2 linked regions of the Neurospora crassa OR74A genome follow. The protein of the gene in region 2 purifies or fractionates together with the protein of the main gene of each other region. This does not show direct contact. Links are inferred from orthologs where the notes say so. Each region holds a gene or a part of one and is shown on either strand. Other genes may lie near its edges.

The links.
Region 1: the proteins of NCU06921 (region 2) and NCU06994 purify together in Schizosaccharomyces pombe (affinity purification with mass spectrometry; 3 studies listed by BioGRID, with this or other methods). This does not show direct contact. The link is inferred for Neurospora crassa OR74A from reciprocal best matches to the Schizosaccharomyces pombe genes prp17 and cdc5.

What each region holds. Positions count from the first base shown.
Region 1 is NC_026504.1:4,815,336-4,819,645, reverse strand, and holds the start of NCU06994 (pre-mRNA-splicing factor cef-1), read right to left. Parts: upstream 2,801-4,310; 5' UTR 2,638-2,800; coding exon 637-2,637; intron 570-636; coding exon 231-569; 3' UTR 1-230. Other genes in the region: NCU06993 (Ash2-trithorax family protein), read left to right, coding at 3,452-3,906, 3,984-4,310. UniProt on the Schizosaccharomyces pombe protein: Involved in mRNA splicing and cell cycle control.
Region 2 is NC_026507.1:771,535-775,963, forward strand, and holds NCU06921 (mRNA splicing factor), read right to left. Parts: upstream 2,941-4,429; 5' UTR 2,774-2,940; coding exon 1,521-2,773; intron 1,443-1,520; coding exon 1,064-1,442; 3' UTR 725-1,063; downstream 1-724. Other genes in the region: NCU06922 (endosomal cargo receptor), read right to left, coding at 4,006-4,098, 4,184-4,250, 4,324-4,429.

The sequences.
Region 1 (4,310 bases), on a different chromosome or scaffold from region 2:
GGAGAAGAATTCACTGATATTGAGAGGGAGGTTGGTCATCGTACTATACATATTCACACGGTGCATCGAGAGACGTCCTCCAAGTACATAATAATGTTCAATGCTTCTTATTTTGAGCTGCTCGACGTCAGTGGCCATTCCACAGACAGTTGCCAGACATACCATGCCATGCCAGAGTTTAACCAACACTCAATTATTCACAACCTGACCACACTCTTCCAACACATCATTCAGCGGAACCCATTGGCCTTCGGCCCGTTGAGCGTCAAAGCATCCAGCTCTTCCCTCGTCCTCCTGTATAACTCCTGCGCCTCTCTCTCCCTCGTGCTCACAAAGCCCACCTCCTCACGCAGCGCCGCCAGCCGGTTCCGAATAGCGGCCTGCTCCGAGGACTGGAGGACCTTGAAAGCGCCCAGAGCGTTGTTCGCCTTCTCCAACGCCTCGTGAGCCTCACTGATCTTCTTCCGCAGCATTTCAGCCCGATTCTTGTAACCGCCAAGATGCAGGTTGAGCTTCTTCTCGAGCTTGTTGCCCTTCTCTGCCGAGGCGACGATTTGGTCAATGACCTCCTGCAGGTTAGGTTAGCCAGTAAGCCTTCGGAAGGCAGGAGGCAGAAAAGGGGTTAGTTGTACATACCTCAAGCGCAATTTGCATAGTGGAAATCTGCTCTTCTTCTTCATCGTCCTCATAGCATCCCAGCCCAAGCAAAAGGGAGCTGCTGTTGCTCTTTTCCCACACCGCTTGAACTTCTTCCGGCTTTGGTTTATCCTTGATTTCCATCAGAACCTGAAGCTTGGCCTCTTGCAACGCGGCGTCGTCGATTTTCTGGATCTCCAGTGCCCGGCCAGTTGGCTGAGCTCCCGGTAGAGGATACTTGGTGGCATCATGAGCTACGAGCAAGGCCGCTTCACGAGCGATGAGAACCTTGACAGGGTCCTCGGCCTGCGAGGCTTCCTTCAAGAGTGACTGATAATCGACTTGGACAGGCCGAGGCAGATCCCGCTGCATGACCTGGGTACGTCTCTTGCGCTCCAACAGCTCTCGCGCCTCCCTGATCTCCCTTTCTCGTCGATCACGTTCAGCAGCATCCTCCTCCAGCTGCTCAGCGGTCTTGGGCTCTTGCTGATCGTCCGGCAGCTCGAGCTCCCACTCGGTCTCTTTGGGCTTGGGAAGAGACGCGAGGCCTTGCTTGAGCTGGTGCCGAATAGACATCTCGCGCATCTTAACATCTCGGGGTGTGCCGCCCACCATGGACATTTCGTCACCGGCATCATTGAGAGCAAATGTATCACGGGGAGTGCGCAGTGGTGTTTGGCCGACGCGGAGGGGCGTGGCGCCAGGACCAGCTCCAGCTGCCCGCAAAGGGGTGGCTAAGGGGTTAGGGGTTGACATGACCTGCTTCCGCGGCGCAACCGACTCGAAGCCGGTAGAGCCCACCCCCTGGTGTAGAGGTGTGTTCTCTCCACCGAGCAGCGAGGATTGCGTCTCTGTTAGTGCTCGGATGTTGCGGATCTCGTTTGCGATGTGGTCTTCCTGAGCGGGGGCCATCGGTGTTCGGATTGGCGCATTGGTGTTGAGTGTCGAGTAGTTGTTGATCAGGCCACGAGTTGCGTCGTTGTCGCTTTCGCGAGCCAGCATATTTGCCCGTTCGCCAATCATGCCCATCTTCACAATTTCCTCCAACTCGCCTTCGCCGACCTGAGGTGCTGGCAGGACCAAAGCCCTCCGCTTGCTGCTCTGTTCTGCCTCGCGCATCTTCTGCAGTTGACCGGCCTTGAGGGCGGCTTGCACAGATGGGTCCTTGTCGCCCTTTCTCCTCTTGCCGTCTCTCTCGTCCTCTTCACCCTTGCGCTTGTTCCCAACCTGCTGCTTCTTGGGGTCGAAATGGGCGCGCTGGTACTCGTTGCGAGACATCTCCTCGGTGGTGTCATAGAATCCGGGAACAGGCTTCTTTTCGAATGGAATATCGGCATTGTAGTCCATCTGGCCCTGCTTCTTTGTCGTAACCTTGATGTTGATACCGGCTGTCTTCAACTCGCGACGCTTCTGGAGAGCGGCCAGTCGGCGTGACTCCTCCTGCTGTCGCTCACGGGCCTTTCGCTTGGCCTTTTTACCCTGTGTGTTGGCCAGACGCGCGCGAGCCTCGCTCAACATTTCTTTCTCATCTTCATCGAGATCGATGGTGTCGGGACGGGCGGGTTTCGTCTCCGGATCGGGGTCGACCTCGCCAGGACGTAGTTTGCGAACATCGTCGGCGCTGGGCGCGTGAGCTTCGCCTCCATCAGGGCCCGTCAGCCCAAGAGCGGACGCCTCCCTCTGCTCAGCTTCGTCGAGAAGTCTTTGGTATCTTTCCAGGCACTGGTTTGCGGTTCTTCCAACGATGGGGGCAATGGTACGCCATTGGGTCGGCATCAGCTTGGCGAGGTGCAGCAGCTTCTCATCCTCCTCCTTGCTCCATTCGATCTTCTTGATGCTGGGATCCAGCCATTCGTTCCATCTTGCCTTGCACTGCTTGGGCGTCTTGCGGGCCAGCAGCGACGAGACGCGGGCCCACTGGTTCAGGCCGTACTTGCTGACCGACGCCTTGAGGATTTCATCCTCGATGTTGGTCCACACACCTCCCTTGACGACGGGCATCTTGTCGCTCGGCCGTTATGGATACTCGTCGGGCGTTGTAGTGATGCGGGAGTCGTTCCGGTAGGTGGGAGGACACTCGGGGTTGGGGTTGTCTTGGAATTGGAATTGAAAGTGTTGAAATGTTGTTGTGTTGATGGGGAAGAAATCCAGAAATTCAAAGCGCTGGCGTCAAGGCGAACAATGGAATCACCCGCGACGCAACTGCCTTGGCGTCTTTCCCAGTATCAACTGTCAAGCGCTAGCCAACCTCAAGACCTTTTTGCGGCAGGCAACAGGTTCCCGCGCTGTTAGCATTTTTGTGTCCCATGCATGTGGTAACTAACAAGCGAGCCAAGCTCCGGGACCCCTGCCTGCCGTTAACCACTAACAGAAGGATGCCCCGCCCTTTTGTCGCGACACGCTGCTGCTGTTGGTCGAGTGGATGAAGCTTCCATCCACCATTTCTGGTTCACATGTCTTTCTTTCCTCTTACATTTCTCAACTCTTTACAGAAATCCCCAGAAAGAACATCAAATCGCTCCGAAACTGGACTCTTTAACCCAATTGCGCTCTCCAAAAGTACGCGTCTTCTCCGAGTACCAAAGCATTTACCCGTAGGATCACCATCGGGCAATTCTCAGATTATTCTTAGCATCCATAAGCTGTCGTCGATCAGAAGAGCTCCCGTCGGTACCTACTTTGGACTTGGAGTGCTCGCCGTTCGAGTCCAAACACAAGTCGACTTCAGGACAAGGACAGCTTGCGAAAGCAAAACTAATCACTTAGTTAAATATTTGTCAACGTTACTGCTAGCACGACGTCTGCCGAGCTACATATGGCCAGCGACGTAGGCTCTCCCCGAAGGGAGCAAACACCTTCCGGAGCTGCCACGACGATCCCTCAGAAGCGCACGCTCGAAGACGACCACAGTCCAGCAGTTCCATCACCCCTAAACCCAGATAACAAGGCCGCTCCAAGAGTCCAAATACAGGCACCCGAAGACACCCAGCAAGCAGCCGTTCTAAACCGCGAAAAGAGAACAAAGAAGGACTCCTTCAAGAAGAGGGAGGCCAAGGCAGCAGCAGGCGGTTCCGATAGTTCTAGAGCAACTCCAGACCCGAAGCAGCAACACAAAGAGCCCTTGATCAACGAATTGCTCCCCGCGCGCTATAAGCTCGCTCCGCCCAAACTTACTGATTTCGAGCCCGCGCGCGGTCCCGTCTTCACCAGCCATCATGAGGTTCAAGGGCCCGAGGGCGAGACCATCGAATTCTTTGATGCAACCGAACAGTATGTCTTATCTATATTTGCTCCTTCGCCATTCTCCATTCATGCGGAGCATATTCTGATTTGCCTTTTTCCTACAGTGTCTTCAACAAGCGAGCGTTCCATTACACTCACTGTATAGCCGACCCAACGTTTCCTTCCATGTTCTACTATCGCCAGACCGAGACCGAGCCGTACGCTGCCCACATGGCCTTCGAGGACTCTGCCTCCCACGTATACTTTGACCGACAGGGTCGTCATGTCACCACCGACAAGGGCTTCCGTATGTCACGAGCCAACGTGGCCGTGCGAGAGGGCAGGTGGTATTGGGAGTGCAAGGTCACTCGAGGCACCCTGCGCGAGCCAGGTTCCGAAGGTGATACCAAGGCGCATGGGCACGTTCGCGTGGGCTGGGCGCGGCGTGAGGC
Region 2 (4,429 bases):
ATATGAACGACAGTAATGACATGTTTGTGTTATAGTTGAGGTGGCAAAGCAATGGAAGCTATAGGCTTGTCATCTCCACCACTTAGTAACAATCCAAGGGCAATTGGTCTAGGGGTATGATTTTCGCTTCGCATAATTCCATAGATGCGCCTTTGTGAAAGGTCACCGGTTCGAATCCGGTATTGTCCACTCTTTTTGGTTTCTTTTTTCCTGCTCGAACTCATTTTGTCCTTTTATCTTTCTTTCTTTCTCTTTAAGTTACGTAGTAGATAGAAACTACCCCCTCGTTCTTTACGAAAGGAGGTATTTTGGTTTTGATGAGAATCCTTTGGCGGTGTTTTTTTTTTCTTCCAAAGCGGGTGGCACTATGAGCCAACCACACACACCCACGGGTATGAGGAAGATGCGCAAAACAATGACTCCGACAATGGTGTTATAGCTGCAGAAGAACCGGAATTGCATGAAGGGTACAAGTAAACTTGAGCGGTGCGGTGCACAAGATGATAGATAATGTTCATTTGAATAACCAGCGGCAGCGAGGGTAACATAACCAGACCAATATGAACAGCCGAATAATCCAAAGACACTTGGCTGCAGTGTAACGTTCATGGTTTCTTGGGAAGTAAGCCTCGACGCCGTGATGTAGAGGGGATAGTCGTCGGCACTTCGATTGATTACAACAAAGATACTCGGTCGACCAGCCACTGTCATATTTTCAGTGCACGTCCAGTATATAGTTCAATCGACTGAGTCAAGACGAATTAAGTCCGGGAATGGATGATCAATATCGGCTGTTCGCCGGTGTCTTGATTGGTGTCTGCTGCTGCTCCAAAATCAAGTCTTTGCACTTGAAAAGCCAGTCCAATCCCATTAGTACCGAAATGTTTCTCCCAACGCCAAGCAATGCTGTAAATATCTTTTTCCGGTCGCTCGTTCTTTGCCTGCTTTCACCTGAGACGCGACGCTCCAATCTTCTTCCTCTATCGTCATCCCTGAGGACAGCCATCAAAATCCCTCAGCAATGGCCCAATTTCACACAATGACCCACGAGACCGGACAGTGTCTAATCCCACATCCTAATCTCACCCTTCGCCCCCGCCGTAAACACCTTACTCGTCTCCTGCTCCGACCAAGCCACACAGTTGATCGCCCCCCCGCTCGTGTCCGCGTGGATCTTGTGGTACATCTTGCACGTCTTCCAGTCCCAGAAGCAGACGTATCCTCCGGTATCGCCCGAAGCGACAAACTGCCCGTCGGGACTGCAGACCAGCCCGATGCCGGAGCCGGCGGTGTTGTGGCCGCGCCAGGACTTCTTGCGGTTTTGGCGGAACTTGTCCGAGGCCGATGAGTAGGCGACGATGGAGTTGTCGGAGCATTGGTAGAGGACGTATTTGCCCGAGGGGTGCTGGGTGGATTTGGTGAGGGCGAACATGTCGGGTTCACTAGAGAAAATGTTAGCATGTGATTACTTTTGGTAAGGAGAATAAAAATGGGAGGAAGAAAAAAAAGAGAAGACATACCTGATAGTCTTGATCTCGACTGGAATTCCATACTCCCATACTCTCAACGAGCGGTCATCTGACGTCGACATGAACCGCCTGTTCTCGTCCACGAATTCGAGGGTGTTGATGGCGCCCAAGTGGTGATCGTACTCCTGCACTGGATCCGCTCCCGCACGACTGTCGTATTGCACAATCCTGTTATCCGACAAGCCCGCCAAGAACTCGTGACCCTGATCCACCGACGGGTTGAACTTGATGACATGCGGTGTCTTGCCCGTGTTGAACCTGTTGACACATTGTCCCGTCTCTGTGTCCCACAACTTGATCCATCTGTCGAACGAGCCCGATAGGAACTTGGTGCCGTCTCTGTTAAACGACAAGTCGGTGATAGCCTTCGAATGGCCCGCATACGTCCGCAACAGCTCGCGATTGCGATAGACATCGAAGATCTTGATGGTGCTGTCCGTGCTGCCCGACAGACCCAAGTGACTTGACTTGGGAAACAACTGCAACGCCGTGATCGGCTTGCCGGCATGGTGCCTCCATGTATGCATGTGCTTCTTGGGGATGAAGTTCGTGACGCTCCCGACGTCCTTGGTGAGACTGATATCCAGATCCTGCGGGACGTGCATGTATGTCCGGCCAAGGTAATCGAATTCCTCGGTGCCATGGAACGTCGTCGTCTCCGCGCCCTGCTCTTCCACCTCTTTCCTGCGCGCCAGGTTCTTCGTCGGCGCCTTGACGACCGTCCCGCTCTCTACCACGTCTTCCTCTTCCTCCCCTTCTTCTTCTTCGACAATCTCATATTCCTCACCACTCCCCAGCTCCTCTTCATTCACCTCCTCATATTCCTGCTTCTTGTACCGCGCCCATGGCCCGACGTAGGCCCCATCGCCATCCGCAATCGTCGCGCTTCCTTTCCCCTCTCTCTGTTGCCTCAGCTTTGCAGCCGCCGCCTTCTTGGCAGTACTCCCCAATTGTTCGCGCGCGGGACCACCGCCGCGCTCGATGGCGCGGTGCTTGGAGCGAAAAGTGTGTTCGCTGATGTAAGTCTCGGCCGCAGTACCGGTCAGGACGTTCTTCCTCTTGGTGCCGACCGCAGTGGAAGTCGAGTCGGTATCGTCACGGAAGGGGTTGGCGGGCCCGAGTCGCGGTCGGCTTAGATCCTCGCCGGTGTAGGGGACAACGGCATGGTCTGGTTCGGCGACTTGGCGGACGATGAGGGCGTCTTTGACTGACAGGTTTGCTGGGTATTCATTGAAGTCGGCCATGGCTATTTGGATTATGTTTAGTTCTGCTGCGGCTTGATGAAATTGTGGTGATGGTATGCTCGCCAGCCGCACGCTTGATGAACCTGAAAATGTTTTTTTTGTTTTGTTGTTTTTGTTGTTTTGGAGATGAAGATGGGATGCGACCCTCTTGGAGTCGTTGGCGGCAGGCCGGGCGCATTGGTTGACGTCTGGAACAGTGGAACTCAAATTCAGAGTGGAGCTTCTACGATATACGCGCGCACGGGCCATATACCACCCACTTACCGGGTTGCTGTCGCACTCTGGTTGAGCAAGGACCAAGCTTTGGAGCTGAGACTCAGCTTGCTTGTGAGGGAGGGGCTGACAATGATCAGCGTTGAGCCAAGCTCTATTGTTTCTGGCTTGCCTCTCTACTATGCAGTACAAAGAGTGTTCAATGACCCGAATATTCGGTTCCATCTTGGTAGGACGACAACAGCTTGCTAAGAGAGTACATATTCCAACAACGCGCCCAATGTCTATGGATCAAAAAGTCATGTTCGTGGTTCTCCATATGTGGCCCGCGTTGCCTTCCCTCGGTGTTGACATTTGACAAGACAGCAACAGACCATGATCTTCATGACGTAGCCCGTCCCGTTTCATTACATACTTTAGGAAGCAGTAAAATACAGCACGCGATTTCTCCCTCTCCTCACCTGCGTACACCCAATTGGTACCGCTGAAGAGGTCGTAAACTCTTTTTCATCATTTCCTTTTGCCCCGTCTATCCAGCTGTCATGCCAACCGAGGCGTACAGCAAGGCAGTTGCCACCTTCCCGAAGCCCGTCAGTCGCTTTTCCTCTTCATTATAGAAGCCAAGACCATACAATTCGTCCTCCTCTTCTCCCGCCATCCAATAATATAATCATTCCCGCCATCTCTTCATAGCTTCGTGCCCTCCCATGCCATCTGTCAAAGTCGTCGTATGTTACGCTCATGAACCCTTCCCGTCCTTTTGCAGCATCCGTCGCCGAGGATCCTGCCTGCCTGCTTGCTTGCCTGTCGTTGTACTGTATATATTTTTTGTTTGTGTGTGTTTGAAGTACTGCGTACCAGTGTGCCCAGCGCCGTTATGTACTTTCGAGAAAACGGTGGTGGTAAAGATGCGAGCACGAGCTCCGATGAGAGAGCTCCGCGTCCGATCCGACGGACTTTGTGGCGGTATCGTTGTGAAACGAGAAGTCCAGTTCAACTTAGCGAGCGACGGCCATTTCCTAATGAGCCTCGTCCCGAATGAGGGCCACAATCATGCTGTACAAGTAAAAGAAGAACAGAATGAGATGGAAGCCGAGCTTAGTGAAAGATTCCTAGAGAGCGCGCAGATCGGTTAGAAGCAGTTCTTGAAGCTCCACCACAGCGGACGCGGTTGGTTGTGTTGAGCTGATGACATACCTTCTTGTGGACATTAAGCTTGCGGAAGATCTCAGTGGCGTCCAGAAGGTGGGCGTTGTCAACGATCCTGCACCGCATGGTTAGTTATCCGATTCGCGCAAGCTGCGGATATTGCCATCCAAGCGGTTGTTAAAACTTACTTCTTGACGTTCCAGGCGAGAAGAGGCAGGTTGAGCACGAGAGGCAGCCAGTAGCCGTTGATAAGGAAGAGGAAGGTCAGGAAACCGTGGACAGCGACTTCGGGGA